Linked DNA regions of Anolis sagrei. The protein of the gene in region 2 purifies or fractionates together with the protein of the main gene of each other region. This does not show direct contact. Links are inferred from orthologs where the notes say so. Each region holds a gene or a part of one and is shown on either strand. Other genes may lie near its edges.

The links. The genes of interacting proteins can lie anywhere in the genome.
Region 1: the proteins of CHD4 (region 2) and BCL11B purify together in Homo sapiens (affinity purification with mass spectrometry; 4 studies listed by BioGRID and IntAct, with this or other methods). This does not show direct contact. The link is inferred for Anolis sagrei from reciprocal best matches to the Homo sapiens genes CHD4 and BCL11B.

The regions. Positions count from the first base shown.
Region 1 is NC_090021.1:321,125,430-321,136,653, forward strand, and holds the start of BCL11B (B-cell lymphoma/leukemia 11B), read right to left. Parts: upstream 5,667-11,224; 5' UTR 4,222-5,666; coding exon 4,164-4,221; intron 4,066-4,163; exon of another isoform or gene 3,983-4,065; intron 1-3,982. UniProt on the Homo sapiens protein: Key regulator of both differentiation and survival of T-lymphocytes during thymocyte development in mammals.
Region 2 is NC_090022.1:197,399,146-197,410,303, forward strand, and holds the start of CHD4 (chromodomain-helicase-DNA-binding protein 4), read right to left. Parts: upstream 5,229-11,158; 5' UTR 5,112-5,228; intron 1-5,111. UniProt on the Homo sapiens protein: ATP-dependent chromatin-remodeling factor that binds and distorts nucleosomal DNA. Acts as a component of the histone deacetylase NuRD complex which participates in the remodeling of chromatin.

The DNA.
Region 1 (11,224 bases), on a different chromosome or scaffold from region 2:
TGCAAGATCCAACCCAAATCCTGCCTAGTTATAATTTTTCTTGCACAGTTCAAGAAGCCACTCTGATTGTTGTCTCTTGTTGTTTAGCACCTTCCAGATGGGAGGACGGGTGAAATAATTCACGAGGGAAAGAAAAATAGTTTCTTTCTCTGTCAGATCTAAGCTATCGTCCTACTATTAACATAACATGTGCAAAAACCCTCCAAGATCCAACCCAAATCTTGCATAATTTTAATTTTCACCACAAACAGACAGAACTGACACTCATGCTGAAACCTACCTGATTTGACCTTACCATTGACCAATGCCTTCCTTTCCTTCTCCTATTCTATTCCCATGCATTATGTGCCCTTCTCACCTTTCCCTATCTTCCCCAGCCCAGGCTCCTCATGCAAGGCATGCAGGAAAACAAAACAGATTGACTTCAAATTATCTGCAGTGAGGGAATAAAAAGACCAGCCTCTCTCTTTTATAGCACTTAAGCAAAAAAAAAATAATGAGGGGGGGGATTAATGTGGGCACTGTTGGCTCAAAAGGTTATATGCTTGGTCAGTTTGGAAGTGGCTTGGGGAGCATTTGCAACGACAATAACCCACTTTGTTGGTTGCAGAGACTGGACAACATCCCCATCCACTCCCCAGCTGCAAAACAAGCGCTCCCAAATCAATGCAAAGAGCTGATCACAAATGCATCTTCATTGGTGATGCAGCCGCTTCATAAAAGGTATGGAAGTGGGGGGGGGGGGGTTAGAGAGAAATATATACATACATAGCAAAGGGGGAAAAAGGAGAAAGGGGGATAACAATTCATAAAGCTATTATCCCGGGTCCCTCGACTTGCATTGGCCCATCCACGATAAATCCCGAGATGTTCTGACAAAACAACAAAGGAGAGGCAAAGAGGCAGGGACCGCTGTCACCCAACGCTCCTGGCAGATGGCTGCTAGTCCTGGGCTCCCTGCACTGAGGAGGGGGAAGGGGAAGGAAGGCTGGGGGTCTCTGCCTATCGAGGTATTTAAATTGGGAACAAATATATCCCATGCATATTCTATTTCTCCTGCACACGCAAGCATGCTGCATTTCCCCCTTTTCTCCAGGCGCAACGGCTTGCATGGAAACAAGAAGCCGAAGCTTGCAAAGGAGCTGTTCCTGTCGGCGTTTGCAGGGCTTGGCTTGGGCTCTGGGCTTGTTTCCTTCCCCTCCTTCACTCCATCTCACACACATACACAAACACCCCGAAAAGAAAACTACCCCGGGCTATTTATTATTATTATTTTTAATGTTGATGACCCATGCACCCAATGGACCACAGTTAAGCCAAGCCCAGAGAGAGAGAGGGCTTGCAAAGCAGAGCCAAAAAGAGGACCAAAAAGAGTGTTGGAAATCTGCTTCATTGCCATGGGAAGAAATAGAGAATGGGGAAGAGGGAGAAAGAGGGGATAAGAAGAAAACTAACCTGAGATTATTATTATTAAATGTTGATGACCCATGCACCCAATGGACCACAGTTAAGCCAAGCCCAGAGAGAGAGAGGGCTTGCAAAGCAGAGCCAAAAAGAGGACCAAAAGGAGTGTTGGAAATCTGCTTCATTGCCATAGGAAGAAATAGAGAATGGGGAAGAGGGAGAAAGGGGGGGATAATAAGAAAACTAACCTGAGATGATATGATTATTATTATTATTAAATGTTGATGACCCATGCACCCAATGGACCCTAATTAAGTCGGGGGGGGGGGCTTGCAAAGCAGAGCCAAAAAGAGGACCTTCCAAGTGTTGGACATTTGCTTCATTGCCATAGGAAGAAATAGAGAATGGGGAAGAGGGAGAAAGGGGAGGATAAGAAGAAAACTACCCCGGGCTATTCATTTATTATTATTATTATCATCATCATCATCATCATCATCATCATCATCATCATCATCATCATCATTATTATTCAATGTTGACCCATGCACCCAATGGACTCTAGATAAGTCGGGGGGGGGGGGGCTTGCAAAGCAGAGCCAAAAGAGGACCTTCCAAGTGTTGGACATCTGCTTCATTGCCAGGAAGAAATAGAGAAGAGGAAAAGGGAGAAAGGGGGGATAAGAAGAAAACTAATCTGGGCTATTTATTATTATTATTATTATTCAATGTTGATGACCTATGCAACTTCTTATTATTATTATTATTATTCAATGTTGGTGACCCATGCACCCAAGTCAAGCCCGGAGAGAGAGGGCTTACAAAGCAGAGCCAAAAAGAGGACCTTCAAGTGTTGGACATGTTTCATTGCAATGGGAACTACCATTGCAATTGCAACTACCCAGGACTATTATTATTTTTCACTGTTAATGACCCACATGCACCCAATGGACCCCAGTTAAGTCAAGCCCAGAGAGAGGGCTTGCAAAGCAGAGCCAAAAAGAGGACCTTCAAGTGTTGGACATCTGCTTCATTGACATAGGAAGAAATAGAGATGAGGAAGAGATAGAAAGGGGTTAGGGTTATCCATTCAAAAAACGTGGTTTTGAATGGGCAAGGAAGGAGGATCTGCTTAGAAAAGCTCTCGACACTCCCCTCGTTCCTTGGATGGACCTTATCCCTGGATCCCAACTCTTTCTCCCCAAACAGAGACACAACTGGCTTCTTGTGCAAAGACCACCCCGTTCTAGATATCTCTCTGCCCACTTCTACCTCCCTGGAGAAACCTTGCAACTATTTCTCTGTGTGCAGCCTGTCCTCACCACAACCATCAAATCCTTTGCAAAAGTGGCGCCTTGTTATTTGCAGGACACCATCACCCCTTTTGCAAAAAAGTAGCGCCTTATTTGCAGGACGTTTTCCTGCAAAGCTGTTTGCGCTCGGCCCATGCAAAGAGGGGCTCCCCTCCCTGCACCAGGTTCCTTTCTCTCTCTTCTCTCCCCCCACTTGCATTTCCCACCCTCCCCTCCCAGCTCACATGTATACCTGCCCTCCCTCCCTTCCCATCCCCTTCTTGAAAAGGAGAACTTGACAGACACATCCCCCCACTCTCCCTATAGTATTATGTTCAACACAAAAAGGTGTCCTAAGAGGAGAAGGCTGTGGGAAGCCTCTCCAACTACCTGTCCACTGACTCGCGCCTCTCTCATCCTCACCTAGAAGTCCTGGGTTTCCTCTATTTTGGAGCAGAAAAGGATCCCAGGGGAGGCTTTCCACCCTCTACCCCCCTCCTCTTACTTCTCCCCAGCTCCTCATGCCGGCCTCCTTTCCATGTGGTTCCCATTAAGCCCCTGACTTTCTCCCCCACCTCACTCCAGCCACCTTTCTTCTCCCTCTCCAAGTTTGGACTGGCTTTTACTCCCTTTCTTTCTCTGTCTCCAAGTCCTTCGAGTGGGTCTCCCACAGCACAACACTCCCCACACACACACACAACGTGTTATGGCCTACCCTTAGGTTTACCTCCCCCCCAAACTTTGCTTAGAAGAGACCTCTTTCCCTCTCTCCACCGTGCGCCCTGCTCTCCAAGCCAGGCGCGCTTTGCAAAGCCCCTCCAAATCCAGCATCTTTGTCCTTTCTTCCTCCAACTCTTCCCTTTCCTTGCACCCACCTGAGTCTCTCAAACACGCACACGCATAACCAGGTATACACCAAAGCAGATTTACTCCCTACACCGGTTTCAAATTCGCCCCAACTTTCCCTCTCCACTCTGCGCCCTCCTTTCCTGCATTCTAGGGTTCTCCTCCTTTCTTTCTTTCTTTCTTTCTTTTTTTCTTCCTCCAACTCCTCTTCCTTTCCTTGTATTGCACAAATACACCTACCTTAGGCTTCCAAACACACGCACACATCCCTAGGCTTAAATCGGAGCACGGTTGAACCCCCAAACCGTTTCCAAATTGGCTCCAAACTTGTCTAAACGTCCAGACGCGCCTCTGGATGTCTGCCTTCGCCTCTGTGCGCCTTCCCAATCCCCTCTCCAGCATCCTCTCCTTTTCTCCCTCCAACTCTGCAGTCCCAAGCCTACCTTAAGTCTCCCAGTTGGGCACCTTCCTTGCTTCCCTTCGTGGAGGCACAAGGAGGCTCCCCAAGTTCCCATCTCTCCTCCCCAACCGGGTTCCCCCCCCCTCCTTCCCTAGTTTCTCCAAAAGCGCACGCAATCCAGGCACTCTTCTTTCCCCCCTCGTCCCTCCTTTTTTGCAACTTACGCGTGATAATTTCCCGTTGCGATAAGTGCTGCGGGTTGCCCTGCTTGCGACGGGACATTGCCCTGGCATTTACACGGTCATCGCCCGGAGAGCTGGACTTGAGAGCCGGGTCGGAGGAGGAGGAGGAAGGGGGAGCAATCTTCTTCCTTTTCTCTTCTTCTATTTTCTTCTTCTTGGTGGAAGAAAGAAAACACAATGTAGATGGTGATGAGGTGAAGAGCGGCGATGGCGAGGAAGCCTTGGATGGAGAAAGAGGCGAAACTCTGGCCAGCCCCCCTTCTTTCTTTCTTTCTTTCTTTCTGCCTGCTTGGCGCGCTCAAGGCGAGGTCCTTCCTTCAATTAAAACATCATCATCATCATCACCGGCACCAAAGCCAAGAGAGGGGGAGAGGCTTGCTTGGGGTGATTTTCGCCAGGCAACGCAAACTGTCTTTGGGGGTTTTCCCCCCCTCCCTTTGCAACCGCTTCCAGATCTGTTTCTTGAACTTCAGGGGAAGAGAGAAGGATGGTTGTGTCCCTCCTCCTCCTCTTCCCCCCTTTCACCAAGCGCAGAGAAAGACTTTCTTTTTATTTTTCCAGAGAATGGAGAAGGGGAAAGAGATGGAAGGGGGGAAGGAGAAAAAAATGTAGGGAGAGAAGAAAAAAGAGCCACCAAAGTGCACTTCTTCCTTCCACCTGGGATGAGAAAAGAGAGACGCACGCTGGCACACCAAAAAGTAGGGAAAAATGGGGAGAAAAGGCAAAAGGGGGGAAAGGAAAGAAAACCACCCGAGCTTTGGCGGTGGGTGACTTCAGAGTCTCTCTTTGGAGAGGGCAGCCCAGACTGTGCCAGTTCAAGGTTGGGGTTTTGTTGTTGTAGTAGTAGGAGTCTAGAATCGGATGTATAGATCTCTCTCTCTCTCTCTCTCTTATCTATTGGCTAGGCTTTGGCGGCAGCCTTTGCCCCCCTGTCTCCCTCCCTTTGCTTGGCAGCAGAAGAGGGTCTCTCTCTCTGTCTCTGTCTCTCTCTCGGCAGGCAGCCCCCCGGTGCTTCTGGCTAGGACTGGGGAGAGAGAGAGCTCTATTGCAATGTGAAGATGGCGGAGTCCTGGTTCCCTGGGAGCGCTCCGTCTCGCTGTGGCTGGGTCTGCCTCCGTACAATGGGATAAAATTCAAGTTCAAGTGCGGACGTGACGTTTAATCTGCACTAGAGACAAAAAAAAATAAGACTAGGAGCACTGGGGGCGACTAGCGGTGGCTTTTTAACATTGTACCCTGCAAGAGAACAAGAAGAAGAAGAAGGGGGAGGAAGGAGAAGGGGAAAAAAGAGGGGGAAGAGAGAGAAAGAGAGAGAGAGAAGAAGAAGCAAAGAAGAGGTGTGTGTATGTTTGGAGAGAGGAGGGCCCTCCAAGCCCAAACCTGGCCTTGGGCTTTCTGCAAAAGGAGATGGATTTAGAAAAAGGAAAGGGAATTGGAAAGCGAGGTGAAGCTTCACTGGCTTGGGAAAGAGGCAGAGGGGAAAGGGAAGAAGAAAGAGGGGGAAAGAGAGAGAAAGAGAGGAGAAGCAAAGAAGAGGTGTGTGTGTGTTTGGAGAGAGGGGGAGAAAAGAGCCAGACCTGGCCTTGGACTTTCTGCAAAAGGAGATGGATTTAGAAAGTCGGGGAAAGAAAGAGGAAAGGGATCTGGAAAGAGAGGTGAAGCTTCTTTGGCTTGGGAAAGAGGCAGAGAAAAAGGGAAGTAGAGTGGTTTCCACTCTAGCAGCCTCTTCGGCCAAAGCAGAGGAAGGGAAGCTAGGGAAGGAGAAGGTCTTAGGTGGGAGGAAGCCTCTTAGGGTTGGAGGGAAAGGAGGGAGGGAGGCACCAAAAAGAGGTTGAGAGGTGAGCAGGACCCAAGTCCACCTTTCGACCAAAGCAGAAAAGGAGAAGGTCTTGAGGGGGGGGCTTTCTGGGGTTGGAGAGAGGGGAAAGGAAAGGAGGGAGGGAGGCACCCAAGAGACGTTGAGCAGGACCCAAGCCCACCTTTCGTCTTGGGGGGGGGGGCTTTCTGGGGTTGGAGAGAATGGAAAGGAAAGGAGGGAGGAAGGCACCCAAGAGAGGTTGAGAGGTGAGCAAGACCTGAGCCCACCTTTCCACCAAAGCAGAGAATGAGAAGCTAGGGAAGGAGAAGATCTTAAGTGGGAAGGAAGGCTCTCTAGGGTTGGAGAGAAAGGAAAGGAGGAGGGAAGGCACCAAAGGGAGGTTGAGAGGTGAGCTGGACCCAAGCCCACCTTTCGACCACAGCAGAGAAGGAGATCTTTGGGGGGAAGGAAGGCTCTAGGGTTGGAGAGAAGGGAAAGGAAAGGAGGGAAGAAGGCACCAAAGGGAGGTTGAGAGGTGACCAGGACACGAGCCCACCTTTTGGCAAAGCAGAGGAGGAGACGGTCTTAGGGGGGGAAGGAAGTCTCTCTAGGTTGGAGAGAAGGGAAAGGAAAGGAGGGAGGGAGATACCTAAGGGAGGTTGAGAGGTGAGCTGGACCCAAGCCCACCTTTCGACCACAGCAGAGAAGGAGGTCTTAGGGGGGAAGGAAGGGGGGAGGGAAAGGAAAGGAAAGGAGGAGGGAAGGCACCAAAGGGAGGTCGAGAGGTGAGCAGGACACGAGCCCACCTTTTGGCAAAGCAGAGGAGGAGACGGTCTTGGGGGGGGGGGGGAGTCTCTCTAGGGTTGGAGAGAAGGGAAAGGAAAGGAGGGAAGGAGATACCTAAGGGAGGTTGAGAGGTGAGCTGGACCCAAGCCCACCTTTCGACCACAGCAGAGAAGGAGGTCTTTGGGGGGAAGGAAGGCTCTCTAGGGTTGGAGAGAAGGGAAAGGAAAGGAGGGAAGAAGGCACCAAAGGTGAGCAGGACCCGAGCCCACCTCCCTCCTCCATCCCGCGCGCCCGCCCACCCTGCTGGAAAGGAGCCCAAATGGGACGGACCTTTCTCTCTCTTCTCTCTCTCTCTCTCTCTCTCTCTCTAAGCCTTCGGGGAGACTGGAGAGAAAGGGCTGGGGGTGGGAGGGAAGGAAGGAAAGAAGGAGGGGGTGAAGCCAAGCAAGCCGGCGCCGGAAGAAGAGCCCTAGCCAGGGCAAGGAAGAGTTGGAAGGAGGGCAGGATGGGGAAGGAGGAGGAGAAGTGGAGGAGAGAGGTCCAGAGCGGTTTTCTCTCCCCGGATCCACCTGCTCACCTTTCGCCCTCCCTCGGTGCCTTCTTCCCTCCTCTCCTTTCCCTTCCCTTCCTTCCAACCTCTCCCACGCGGCTGGGTCGTGGCTCCACCAGGAGATCCATAGGCTCCCACCCTCCCCCATTGCCCCCCCCCCCCCAACCAAAGCCCAGGCCAACTCCACGCTCCGGTTTGCTGGCTTGCTTGCTTGCTTTCCTCGAGCGCAAGCAATTCGAGGCGGCGAGCAGGATCCAAACACCTTCCCCGCGCATTTCCCACTGCTTTTTACAATAACACAAATATCTGCGTGGGGGAAGGAAGAGAGATCTCTCTCTCTCAATTCCACCACCCCCCCCCCCTTTCCCTCTCTCTCTTCTCTTCCAGTCTCTCCATCGGAATTGCGATTGCAGAGGGAGCCACAAAGACAGACACACGTGCACACACTCTCTCTCTCTCAAACACGCATGTGTTCAGGCATCTCGTGTGGATATAACAGCAAACTTGGGCCCGCCAGGTGTTTTGGGCTGCAACTCCCACCATTCTTAACAACCTCAGGCCCTTTCCTTTTCCCCCTCAGCTGCCTAATCAGCAGCTTCCCTTTGAAGTTGGAGAGCCTGCCCTTCTTTCTCCAAGGACTGTGGCCAAGGCGCTAGTCCTCAAGGATCCCCTCATAGAATGGTATTACTTCTACCACTTCATCACACTAGAGAGAGAGAAATCCACTTAAGTGAAGCTGTTAAAGGTTCCTCCCTAAACTACAAACTCCAGAATTCTGCAGGAGGCAGCAATCAGATTTAAAGTGGATTTTTTTCTCAGAGACTTTGTGGGCCAATCCAGTCCAACTCTCTGCCAAGAAGCAGGAAAATCGCCTCCAAAGCACCCCTGACAGATGGCCATCCAGCCTCTGCTTAAAAGCCTCCAAAGAAGGAGCCTTCAACACACTCCGGGGCAGAGAGTTCCACTGCTAAACAGTTCCCAAAATTAGGAAGTTGTTCCTCATGTTCAGCTGGAATCTCCTTTCCTGTAGTTTGAAGCCATCCAAGTCTCCAGGGCAGTGGAAAACAGGCCTGCTCTCTATGACTTCTCCCACACATCTTGATACATGGCCCTCATCATGTCTCCTCTCAGTTTTCTCTTCTGCAAGCTAAACATACCCAGCTCTTTAAGCTGCTCCTCATAGGGCTTGTTCACCTGACTGAAAGCAAATCTGTACTGTCCAGTTTGAGACCACTTTAGCTGCCATGGAAGCATGGGAAAGGTAGATTGACAACTTTTAAGGGTGCTGGTACCTCACCAAAATACAACTCCCATTATTCCAAAAGCCATGAGCCCTGACAGCGAAAGTGGTGTCAAGCTGCATTAATTCTATATCAACATCAGACATGGGCAAACTTGGGCCTTCCAGGTGTTTTGGACTTCAACTCCCACCATTCCTAACAGCCTCAGGCTCCTTCCTTTTCACGAAAAGGAAAGGACCTGAGGCTGTTAGGAATGATGGGAGTTGGGGTCCAGAACAACTGGAGGGAAGGCCCAAGGACCTACACTGTCCTTTTAAGTGACTGAGTAGTTAAAACAATAAGGTTTCAGGAAGACCAGGCTTCGAGTCCTCTCTCAGTCCCTTGGAAACTCACTAGTCACACTCTCTCAGCTTCAGAAGATGGCCATGGCAAACCCACTCTGAAGCAACTTTGCCACAGAATGAGTGCGTTTTAGAGTCCTCTTGTGTTGAGAAAGGTTTGAAGGCAACTCCATCCTCAAGTTCTTAATTTTCCTTAGCCTTCACTTGGAAAATCCCTTCCTCTTTACCTGAGTATCAAAAGTTTGGGCCTCCTTCCTCCTGTAAGGTGTGTGTAGAATCCAAAGGAGAATTGACCAAGAGTCTGGAGAACAAGCCCTATGAGGAGCAGCTTAAAGAGCTGGATATGTTTAGCCTTCAGAAGAGAAGGTTGAGAGGAGACATGATGATGACCACGTATGAGGGGAAGTCATAGGGAGGAGCGAGCAGGCTTATTTTCTGCTGCCCTGGAGACTAGCTTCAAACTTCAGGAAAGGAGATTCCACCTGAACACGAGGAAGACCTTCCTGACTGTGAGAGCTGTTCAGCAGTGGAACTCTCTGCCCTGGAGAGTAGTAGAGGCTCCTTTGGAGGCTTTTAAACAGAGACTGGGTGACCATCTGTCGGGGTGCTTTGAAGGTGATTTTCCTGCTTCTTGGCAGGGGGTTGGACTGGATGGGCCAAGAGGTCTCTTCCAACTCTAGGATTCCAACTCTAGAGAATGCTTCTGGAACATGGCCTGGAAAACTCATAGTAACCTCCATGCAGGAAGCAGCCAGGCTTTGAAGCTGCAAGGCTATTCAGTGGTGATCAAGATCGCCAATTGCAAACATTCACACTAGCCTGCAACAGACAAGGGTCCTTTGCCCCACCCTGGTGATTCCACAGATATATAAACCCCTTTTCCTAGTTCCAACAGACCTCACTACCTCTGAGGATGCTTGCCATAGATGCAGGCGAAACTTCAGGAGAGAATGCCTCTAGACCGTGGCCATATAGCCCGAAAAACCTACAACAACCCAGACAAGGGTTCTCTCTCCCACCCTGGACATTCCACAGAGATGTGAACCCCATTTTCTTCATTTCCAACAGACCTCACAACTTTTAGGGTTGCAGTGCATCAAGAAAGGCTTGAAGGCAACTCCATCCTCAAGATCTTAATTTGCCTTTTTTCAGCCCATAGCCTTTGCCTGGAAAATCCCTTCTTCACCTGAGTACCAAAAGTTTGGGCCTCCCTTCTCCTGTAAGGTGTGTGGGGACTCCAAGGGAGAACTGGTGCAGAAAGGGCTCCCTCTTGTTTTTCTCAGGAGGGTCCCAAAGTTGCCCAAGATAGGCCTCCTTCCCATTCCAAGTCCCTTCACCCTCCCTTTCAGAAGGACCCAAAAGGGTGATTCCTTTGCAGTGATCAGTGCAAAGGTGCGGCTCAGTTTCCATCAAGCCTGAGGGAGGTTTGGGACAAGCTCAGACAGGTGTAGTGACCTCCTTCATTCCCACATGGGGGGGGGGGGGACTTTCCGGGCTGAAAGGAGGGCTCTGGATTTCTGCAGGAGGAATTGCCAACTTGGCTGAGGCTGGGGAATTCGGTTTTTTTCAAGGCACTGGCACTTACTCCTGAGCAGAACAGCGCAGGACTTGCTCCACAAGATGGTTGTATACACACACACACACACAGGGTTGCTGTGAGTTTTCCGGGCTATATAGCCCTGTTCCAGAAGCATTCTCTCCTGACATTTCCCCTGCATCTCTGGCAGGCATCCCCAGAGGTTGTGAGGTCTGTTGGAAACTAGGCAAGTGGGGTTGATATATCTGTGGAATAATGTCCATGGTGGGAAAAAGAACTCTTGTCTGCTTGAGGCAAGTGTGAATGTTGCAATTGGCTACCTTGATTACCACTGAATAGCCTTGCAGCTTCAACGCCTGGCTGCTCCCTGCCTGGGGGTTACTGTGAGTTTTATAGGCTGCATGGCTATGTTCCAGGAGCATTCTCTCCTGACGTTTCCCCTGCATCTATGGCAGGCATCCCCAGAGGTTGTGAGGTCTGTTGGAAACTAGGCAAGTGGGGTTGATATATATGTGGAATAATGTCCAGGGTGGGAAAAAGAACTCTTGTCTGTTGGAGGAAAGTGTGAATGTTTACAATTGGCTACCTTGATTACCATTGAATAGCCTTGCAACTTCAAAGCCTGGCTGCTTCCTGCCTGGAGGAATCCTTTGTTGGGATTTCCCCAACAGACAAAGTTCTTTCTCCCACCCTGGACCTTCCACAGATATTATAAACCTCTCTTGCTTAGTTTCCAACAGACCTCACAACCTCTGAGGATGCCTGCCATAGATGTGGGCAAAACGGGCAA
Region 2 (11,158 bases):
TTTGCTTGTTTTTGTGGACACCTACACCGGGTGGGTAGAGGCGTACCCAACCCGAACTGAAAAGGCAGTAGAAGTTTCAAGAGCACTTTTGAAGGACATAATCCCCAGATTTGGAATACCATCAGAAATAGGGTCTGACAACGGTCCAGCTTATGTACACAAGGTGATTCAAGGACTGTGTCAAATATTGGGCACAAAATGGAAATTGCATTGCGCTTATAGGCCCCAGTCCTCAGCTAAAGTTGAGAGAATGAATCGGACTCTAAAGACTGCTATGTCAAAAATCTGTCAAGAGACAGGGCTGGGTTGGACTGTAATACTGCCCATGGTACTATTGAGAGTAAGGTGTACCCCTCACAAAAGAACAGGTCTGACCCCCTATGAGAGACTATATGGCAGACCACCATTAAATTTGAGGTCGATACTGGACAAAGGGGGAGACCAACATGTGATTGGAGATAAACAAACCATTCAACAAGTGCAAGCCCTGGCTGGACAGATAAAACAAATTGCACAATATACTTCAGAGTTAAATCCACCCTATCCTACCACACCTTTGCATTGTTTCTCGCCAGGTGACGAGGTGCTTGTGAAAGAGTGGAAGATTGACCCACTAGGACCCAAGTGGAGAGGGCCCTATACTGTGCTGATATCAACCCCTACTGCCATTAAAGTGAAGGAAGTTAAACCTTGGATACATTACACCCGTGCCAAGCTGGCACCCCCCATGTGGGAGATAAAAAAGGCAGATCAGAGTGACCTGAGACTCAGGATCGTCCGGCAACTCCCTGAGGGGTCAACAAGGCCATGAAGCTGACCTCTTCGGGAACAACAGATCGTCGCAGGTCAAGTATGACGCAGTGTGGCCCAACGAAAGCCCTATCTTGGAAGTGGTGGATAGAGATTATAATGGGGAGGAGGGAAAGATGCCCTAGAAAACCAATAGGAGTTCGAACGGTTTTTGGATATATGATGCTTATAAACATGATCACTATGATACAGGGAAATTGGCTAAAAGAGCATGCTAGATTCATGTTTGATCAGCATGGAAAAGATGTGGCACTCCTATATGAACATCCAGAGAAAGTAGGTGACTTCTCCTTCCTCCCTACCCTAATAGCTGACCCCCAGGTGGTGCTCGGGGGGTTACAAGGAACTATTCAAAATCCCACCATATTTTCTCAGGTCCCCGATGGATTAAAACACATTAAATTTAGACGAATAAGATATACTGCCACCACGAGAGAAATGTGTTTTTGTTGTGCAAACAAGGGTACATGGAATCAAAAATGGAAAGGCTGGGAGCACAGAAAAGCCTTCCTAACAAGGTTGACAAATTACACTCACTGTCAGGACAAGTTTTATTTATATGGAACCTATAACTCTACATATGTTAACAAACAAAATCTGGCCGACACGGACTGGAAGGAACTGTACCCTGAGTACCCGCTGTTTGAGTCAAATTACACATCCCTGAGAAATGGAGGCAGTATTTGTTCAGGATGGCATATTAGAGATCCCAATATGTGGTTTTTCTTTGATAAATGGGCAACCAATTTTCATCCAGGAAGAAACCAGTGTGTTGGGGTAGGATACCTGACATTCCCTGTACGAGTCCTTAAACACCCTAGGAGGCTTCAGAGATCTTTAAAAGCCATAGCACCCCTAGGACCTGAGTGCTCAGACGAAGTGATTATAGACTCACAACTGTCCGAAACTGGAGGCTCAAGGATAGGAGGAGGATTAATAACAGGGCTCCTAACCCTCGGGTCCTATCCTGGAATAATGGCCCAAGAAAACAGAAAGAGTATCATGGGACTCACATGTAGATTAGAGAAAAGCATAAATGCCACAGGAAAAATAGTTAGACAATTACAATCAGAAATTGAAGAACTAAGCCAAATGGCAATGCAACACAAGCTAGCCCTAGATTATTTGTTGGCAACAAAAGGAGGATTCTGTTCTATAATAAAGGGCCGGTGCGTGGTCCAATTTCATAATCTGAACCAAACAATTGAAGATGATTTGGAAAAATTGCAAGAGTTAATAAATCATAACGTAAAGGAAGATGGATGGCAACCTTTCTCATGGTTGACGTCTCTGCTTCCTTCAGCATCATGGCTTAGAGAAATAATACTTGTGATTATGCTATGCGGTTTTGTCTTTTTGTTGCTAATGTGTTGTTTTCCAATTTTGCTTCAAGTTTGCCAGAGATATATGCATCAGGCAGCTTCGGTAGAAAAGATAGCTCTCATTAAAGGGCATAATTGGAGAGATCCGTAATATCTAACCCTTGCTGATTTGCTCTCGCTTTTGTAAACCGCTTCGCAAAACAAAAACATGAGGGAATAAGGCAGAAAGGTACAGCTATAGAAAAGGTAAAAAGCACAGCTGTAGTTTTACTAAAGCTGTCGAGGTTTGCATGTAGAAAGAGAACGGATGAACTTGACCATATATGGGAGACAAAGACAGACTAAAGATGAGTTTTTTTTTTTTGTGAAAGGGTGAAAAATCGGTCATGAGACTTGCCAACTTTGCAAAAAGGAAGTAGCCAAGGCTAAAGTTAGAACTTGCCCAAAATCAGCAAATGTTTTCAGCTGTATTTTGCATGTCAGCATTTTGCATGTTTCCAAGAAGGGGCTTGCTTATTGCGAAGCGAAACTTAAAAATATATGAGCTAATTGCTTAATATTAATTATAATATTGACAGCTTTTTTAACCAATGATTTAATCTTCGGGGCGGCTCTTAAAGCCGAACCCCTTTTTGATGTATAAAAGAACACTACCTTTGATGCTCGGGGGCTTTTCCAGAGACGCCATTTGTTGTGTCGAAAAGCCACTAGCAGCTGCTATAAATAAACTTTGATATTCTTGTTGAACCCTGTTGGCCGTCTTTCCTGACTCATCTGCGTCCGCAATTTGAACTGATACGGAGCATTTTGGCTGAGCCTTTGAGCAATTGCTCAGGGAAAGAAAAAGCCTGCTTCATACTAGCCTGGATTTCTGGGATAGCCATCACATAAACATCCAATGAATACTGGGCCCACTGTTTTTGTTTTGCTAAGCACCTGAAAATTTGATCCAAATTTAAAACAAAAGTTCATTAAACCGAGTTGATGAAAATAAAACTGGATATGTATCACTGGCCTCAAAGGTTAGACCTGTTTCTGGGTATATTTAACCCTGCTGGTTCCAAAAGTGGCATCAGTTTTCCCCTCTTGGTTCTGCTTTTTGAAATATAGAACATATGCCATCTACCAGTTGTTTGTCATTAGAAAAGCATCACCATATCCAATACCAATACTACTACTACTACTACTACTACTAATAATAATAATAATAATAATAATAATAACTTTATATAAAGTTATTATTATTATTATTATTATTATTATTATTATTATTATTGAGGTTTATATATTATTATAGAGATAGAGGTTTATATACCGCTCTGTCTCCCAGGGGGGGGGGGGGGGCTCAGAGCTGTTTCCAAGTAACATCATCAATACATACAGAGTAAACAACATAACCATAAGATTAACAAACAATATCAGCATAAAATTGTTGCCATAACACACATATATTAAAAGGATATTGATATATAAATATATATATCAATATCCAAGAAAGTAGAGCTGATGAGGTCTATCCAATGCAATTTTCTAAATTCTGAATAACTCCAGACACAGGCCTAAAAACTAAAGGCCCTTCCACATAGCCCTATATTCCAGAATATAAAGGCAGAAAATCTCACAATATCTGCTTTGAACTGGCTATCTGAGTCCACACTCGGATATTGTGGGATTTCCTACCTTGATATTCTGGGATATAGGGCTGTGTGGAAGGGCCCATAGACACACCATTCCAGACCATGATGGGTTCTCATTAAAACACCAAACGTTTTGCTGTTGTGGTTTGCTTCCTCCAAGTTGATTTGCCTTATGGCGACCCCATGAATGAGAGACCTCCAAGTTGCCCTATCAATCGTCAGCCACCTTTCTCAGGTCACTTGATAGAGTCTCTGTATCTAGAATGCGGCCTTCCTCTTTTCCTTCTGCCTTTCCAAGCATTAATGTATTTTCAGTCACATCTTCTCATGATGTGGTCAAAGGACATCGGTCTCTGTTTAGTCATCTTGGCTTCTAGGAGAGTTCATGCCTGTTGTCATTTCAGGTGCTGAGCAGTGACCAGTGCCAGTTTTGTGCCCCATGGGCACTAAAAAGGCCAGAACAATAGGGCAAAGCAAGGGATATAGTCAAGCAGCATATTACCAGTTCTGGTGTCACCTGGCTTTGTGGCCACCATCCAACCACCAGGCCAGCCTGGAGCTAAGTACTGTGGTTGCCATCCAGTTCCCAAACTGACTTGGAAGCATGCAGTTTGGCTTCTGGATACTCCATAGGGTTCCCCGGATCAGCATCACCATTTCTGGCCAATGTAGATGCATCCTTGCATTTCTGATGTTTCTTCTTCCAATCTTCATGCCTTCTTCCTCCAAATCTAATACTGATTTGCATATTATATTGTTAGCATATCTTTATTGTGTGATAAAATGCAGTCTTGCCTGACCCCCTTGCCAATTGGAAACCATTCTGTTTCTCTGTATTCTGTCCTAACAGTAGTCTCTTGTTCTGTGTACAGGTTACGCATCACATCAATAAAATCTCCCCTCAATTTATACATGCCGTCAACGTATACACAAGTATATACGGTGGTCAAAGGACATAGGAATCAATACAAGTAACATGTTACCATTTTAAAAGCAGATATAGGGGAGGGAAAACAGTATTTTCATGTATCTTGGCAGGCCTATGTAACAAATGTAACTCTATAGATTAACAACTCCTATACAGTTATGGCCACAATGTTGAGATTGGTTACGATTTCATTCCAATACAATTCAGACATGCATATTTATATTCCAGACTATGACTGGAATATCAGTATGTAAAAGGGATTTTGCAGCACGTTTGAGACTGAGAGACAGCAGTTGGTAGCATAAGCTTGCATATCTTGTATTAATGCTACTTCACCAGATGCAAGAACTAAATATAAGTTTATGAAAGCTTATGCTACCAATTTCTTTCTCGCAGGGCCTGTCCAAACAGTACCTTTATCCCAGGAGCTTCTACAGCAAACAGGAGGGTGACCAGACGCTATTCCCTGTAATCGCGGACGCAAGATTTTTAGGTGTGGGAAAATCCCAGTTCTGAGCTGAAAATCCGCATATTCAAATGTCTGTATGTCCCTGCAATTGAAAACACATGATTTTTTAATCTGGGTTTGTTCCTGGATTTTAGATGTTTGTTCCTGATTGGTCAGTTCCTAAAAAGAAGATGATAGTTCAGTGGAACATGAAAACTTTGTTGTGTGCCAGAAACTTCATGAAACACATGGCTCCGTGGTCAATGCAATCAGGAACAGACATATATAACCCAACAAAGCCCTGTCTGCACAGATGGCCCTGCAGTTTATATAACCCAGGAACTGAACTTATACAATGATTTGCATGCTTGCATCTTAATTTCTGGTGGATGTCCCGTGATGGCCGCTATCTTGGGTACTGCAAAATCCTGCGACAAAGCAGCAAGTGTGGATGACAGAGGCAGAAATCCCGGGACCAACAAGTTTGTATTTGGACATCTTCTCAGGTCCTGGGTTGTTTTGCCCCTGACTAAAGCACGTGATTTGATGTTGTCTTGAACTGCCCCAGTTGGTTTCAAAGGTGACCCTTTGCATACTATTCCCAGTAGAGTTTGTAAGATCACAAAAAAAAGACTCACTCTCATGGCTGAACAAGGTTGCGCTGATTATAATTGCAAAACATTCATACATGTGCACATAAAAAGGGTGTTGTTTTTTTTTAAAAGGTTGTTTCTCTTCTGAGATTGTTTCAGTTTTTGGATTTTATTTTTCGATAAAAGTTTTAACTTTTATCGAATTTTAGATTGCATTTATATGCTCAAATTATGTCAGATGGAGAGATTTTAGCATTTGTTTAAGTATCCTACACCATCTGATCTGGGCGATATGACACCACTGAAAACTTTGTACCAGAGTAATGTCAAGATGGTACTGATGTATCTCCACCGCAAATACAACTCGCTGTGTAGTGTGATAGCAAATGGGAGCAGGGGGTCAGAGGCCTTTCAGGGTTCACAATGGGTGTTGGAGATGTCACAATGGGTTGCCCACAATGGACAGGAGCTTGGGTGGAGCTCTGTGATTGGCTGGGAGCAGCGTTGGTGATACCGAGGGTAATATGACAATACAGCGGTCTTGGCCTGGCTAGAGTGTGTAGATTTCAACATATTGCTACAGCAGGTTTGCGAGGTTGTATGTAACTGCCTCTGGAATCAGTCCATTCATTTCTATTCTGATCTGGGGACCTGGATTTACCAGGTAGCACAAACAATGGTAAAATTTAACCGAATCTAACACATGTGACAATGCTTCACTTGTTGGCAATTACATTTCCAATGTATTCAATTGAACAGAAATTTTGGAACCTATTTTTGGAACCTTTGCAAGTCTTGTTTTTGCAATATGTGGGAGTTGCATTCTAACCAAAGTTTTCCCAGTTTGACGTTGAACAGAAAAAAGAATAAGTTATCCTAGCTCTGTTTTTAATACTTTTCTAATAACTTATTTTTTATCGTTGCAGTTCACCAAAGAAACGTTCCTTTTTTAATGGATTGCTCTCATTAACCTGGGTCCTTCACTAGCCATGTTTCACAGGGTTTTCTCCCTCTCCCCCAAATCATATTACTATCACCATTGCCATCACGATCATGCTATTTATAATCACCAGATTCTAACAATGATAATTATGATAATAATGACAACAGCAGTGATGGTAATAGACAAGCAGTACAATAGAAATTAATAGGGCAATCTTATCTATACATGTCTATTCAGAAGCAAGTTTGATCGGGTGCAGTGTGATATAAAACTATAAAATGATAAGAATCTAACATAACCAGTCATGATTTAACGTTTTCTTTCAGCAAGGGGCAAGAGCATAAAATTGGGAGGAAAAAAAGAAAGAGGATTGGGGAGGAGAAGCTCGGTAGAAGATAGCTCGGTAGAAGATAAACCATTTGCCAGGAGCTGATGGGGCAGGAGAAAGAGGGAACAAGGAAGAAAATGAGTGTAGGTAGGAGTTGCAGGAAGAGGGGAGAGGTGGGCGGGAAAATGCTGATTTTTAATGAGTTGTTGGGAAGGGGAGAAAAAAAAGCAACAGCATGAGGGGAAAGAAGAGAAGAGAGATCAGGACTTAAAAGAGATCTATAACAATTACCTAAAGCAGGGCCCTCCAAACTAAGGCCTGAGGGCTGGAAGCAGCCCTCCAAGGTCATTTACCCGGCCCTTGCTCAGGGTCAACCTAAGTCTGAAATGACTTGAAAGCACACAAGAACAAGAACAATCCTATCTTATCAGCCAAAAGCACTTATCACTTCCCATTGAAATACGAATAAGTTTATATTTGTTAAAATTGTTCTTCAATTTAATTATTGCATTGTTTATAAGTGTTATTTGCACTACAAATAAGATATGTGCAGTGTGCATATGCATTCATTAATGGTTTTTTTTCTAATTATAATCTGGCACTCCAACAATTTGAGGGATTGTGACTTGGCCCTCTGTTTAAAACATTTGAGGACCCCCAGCCTAAAGAGAGCTAAAAAGAGACAGTAATACCATGCTTTTTGCAAAGAGAGAAGAAGCAGTCCAGCAGGTGAATACTTTGGATAGTCTACACAACAGCTCCAAAGCAACCTGCAGCTGAAAGATCCAGAGAAAGAAAAAGTAGGGGTATATGCATTGATGCACATATACTGTATAAGTACAGCTTTAAGTCACTGCTAACACACAGAGTCTGCATCTACACTATAGAATTAATGCAACTTGACACCACTTTAACTACTATATTTCAGTGCTATGGAATAATGGGCATCAACCCTCTTTGGCAGAGAAGGCAAAATACCTTATACTAACCACAACTTCCATGATTCCATAGCACTGAGCCATGGCAGTTAAAAAGGGATGAAACTCCATTAATTCTGAATGGAGATGCACCCTGGGATTCTTCTCCCATGCCTTAAGCCAGAGGTCCTCAAACATTTTAAACATATGGCCAGGTCACAGTCCTTCAAACTGTTGGAGGACCAGATTATAATTTGAAAAAAAATTAATGAATTCCTATGCACACTGCACATATCTTATTTGTAGTGCTAAAACACTTCAAAACAATACAATAATTAAAACGATGAACAATTTTAAGAAATATAAACTTATTAATATTTCAATGGAAAGTGTGGGCCTGCTTTTGGCTGATGAGATAGGGTTGTTGTTGTTGTTGTTGTTATTGTGTGCTTTCAAGTTGTTTCAGACTTAGGTTAACCCTGAGTGAGGGCTGGGTAAATGACCTTGGAGGGCTGTATCCAGCTCCTGGGCCTTAGTTTGGGGACTCCTGCCTTAAGCCTAGAAACAAGCAATAGGGGGCTGGTTCCGACCCTCAACGGGCCCATCCAGATGGGCCCAAAATGTGGGACTTGTCTTGGTTTTTCCCCAAGGTGTCCAAACGATGCCGCGGGCAAAATGAGGGTTCCTGTTCCGGTCTGGTTCCGGTTCCAGTCAGGCGAGCAACAAGATCTTAAGCTGCGCCGACTGAGATCTTTAATCCGCTGAAAATCAAAGCGATCCCCCGCTGACCTCCCCAGATCAAGCAAGAGATCCGGAATAACCTGGGGACTCGAAAGAGACCCTGGCGATCTGGATCGGCTCAGAAGAAGGGTAAGAGGAGGCGGGGAAGGCGAGGTAGACTGAGGTAGAGCGCCGCCGCCATTACAGAGCGGCTGGCTCCCTCAACCCCTAAAGATCTCACCTCAATCCTAAAGATGTCATCTAACTGTTGAGCGAGGTATGTGCATGCTGGCATAAGGGCTGAATTTACCATCTACCGCCATTACGATCTGTGGCGAGACGGGGCCCTGCCTGCGGACCGTGTCGCTGCTGCCGCGTCCTCGCTTCGGCCGATTGCTTCCTCATTGGGCCGTGGCGCCCTCGTCACCGGAACTTCAGCCCGATCGATTCTCCACCAGACCGGCAGGACTAGCGGGAGTCCAGTTAGTTGTTCCATCTCCGGGCACCACGCTTTCGCAGCCCCTGCATCCACCCATGTTTTTGATTATTCACAAGATTGAAATGTCACCCATACCGCTCAAAGTTGGGGCTCTCATCTGAACATTTACACAGTAGCCTCATCCTCAGGAAGTGAGCAGGAGGGAGTTGTTTGGGAGGTGGGCATCCTGCATGTTTATTTCACCTGGTACTTCCCTTCCTTTGCCTGGGATGAAACAAACACTTGCGACATGCAGGAATAAGAGGAGCGTGCTTCCATGTGCCACTTCACTTACCACATGGATCTGGCTTCTCTTCCTCTTCCTGTGTTCCGTAAATGTCAATTTCCCCTCAGGCAAAGAAAGGGTACCAGGGGGAGCAGAAATGCATGCTACATGTTTTGTCAGAAAAGCAAAATGCCAGGACATTGCTTTCCTAAAACAAGCATCCCATCTGAAATGATGAACTAATAAATTGTAAACAATGCCTGAAAAGGCTTTTGCTGACTGATTATAAAACAGTTGCAACTCTGGTTGGATCAATAATGGAATTGAACATCATATTAAACATGGAAAGTTTTCATTTTTCAGTAGTTGATTTAAAACATTATGCCCCCTTGGTTATCCCCATCCGACAAAATCCATCTTCTCTAGACATTTTCTAGTGTGATTCTATGATATTCTTGGGCCAGAGGTACTTCGTTTCAGTAGTTTGCTGTTCTGTGTATCCATGTGAATCCTAGGAACATATCTTCTGAGAATATGGGATGATGACGGGTATACTGGAGATAGTAAAGAAGAGCTAATATTAAAATTGTTTGACTAGCAAACAGTCCATCTTAGGTGAAGAACTGCTACTACAAAACTATTTAGACTTGAAATATTAGATAATCATTCTTGTACTTGAGTTATATATTAGGGGTATTTATCCCTGTAGATATTTTGCAGGCCGAAGTACAGTTGTCTCTCCACTTTCATGGAATTACAGACCAGGCCTTCCCACAAAAATAGAAAAACTATTAATATCTCCAGCAGCAAGATGGGGCATTACCTGCTGTGGTCCCAGTGTGAGGAGGAGGAGCTAATCCTGTGCACCATTTCACTTATTGTACACACATCAGATCCTTTTACTTTTCTCACATGCTGCAAATGTTTGTTTTGCCTAGGCAAGGGTAAATATGGGGAACATAAAAACAAGCAAACAGGAAGAGGACGTGCACCTGCAACTTATCTGGTGAGTCCAATTCCTCTTCTTCCTGTGTGCTTATATCTTTCTTTGCCTGGGAAAAACAGATATTCATGGAACACAGGAAGCGGAGCCAGATCCATGGAAAAAGTTAAGTAGTACATGGGGTCGGCCACTCTTCTTCCTTTGTGCCGCAAGTGCCTGTTTTACCTGGGCAAAGGAAGTTACAGGGCAGAACGGAAACTTGGGGCACACTCAACTCCTGAACAGCTCCTCCACTCACCTCCTGAGGATGGGGCTTCAGGAGCCATAAGCTGGCAGCACATGAATCAAATCCATGACAATGAAATCCATGAAAGTGGAAGATTGTAGAAAAAATTGCATTACCTATGTCAGTTTCAAGAATGTCTATCTTTTATTTCTATTCAGTATGAGCTCTCAAGGGCACAGTAATCACAAACAATATCTAATAGCAATGGTGTCAGTAATGTTGATGCCACCCAAGTAACTCATGGTATCATCCCACTCCCCCACCTCTGATGGACCACCTCCTGTGCCAGACTATATCACAATATCACAACTAAAATACCAGAAAATTGGGCAAAATCAGCATTTATAAAAAAAACCAGCAGTGAGAACAATAGAGCATGCTTACAGTGTGTGTAGATGAAGCCATGTGTTCAAAGCACCATTGTATTAGGATAATGACAGCTCTGACATAGTGCATGCTCACCAGAAGGTTCAAAAACACACTTGTATGGAGTTTTAGCCTTGTAGATAGATCAATACATGTAAATTAAGCTAATGAAAAATCCTTTTGTATTTGTACATATTTTATACCTAAAATAAT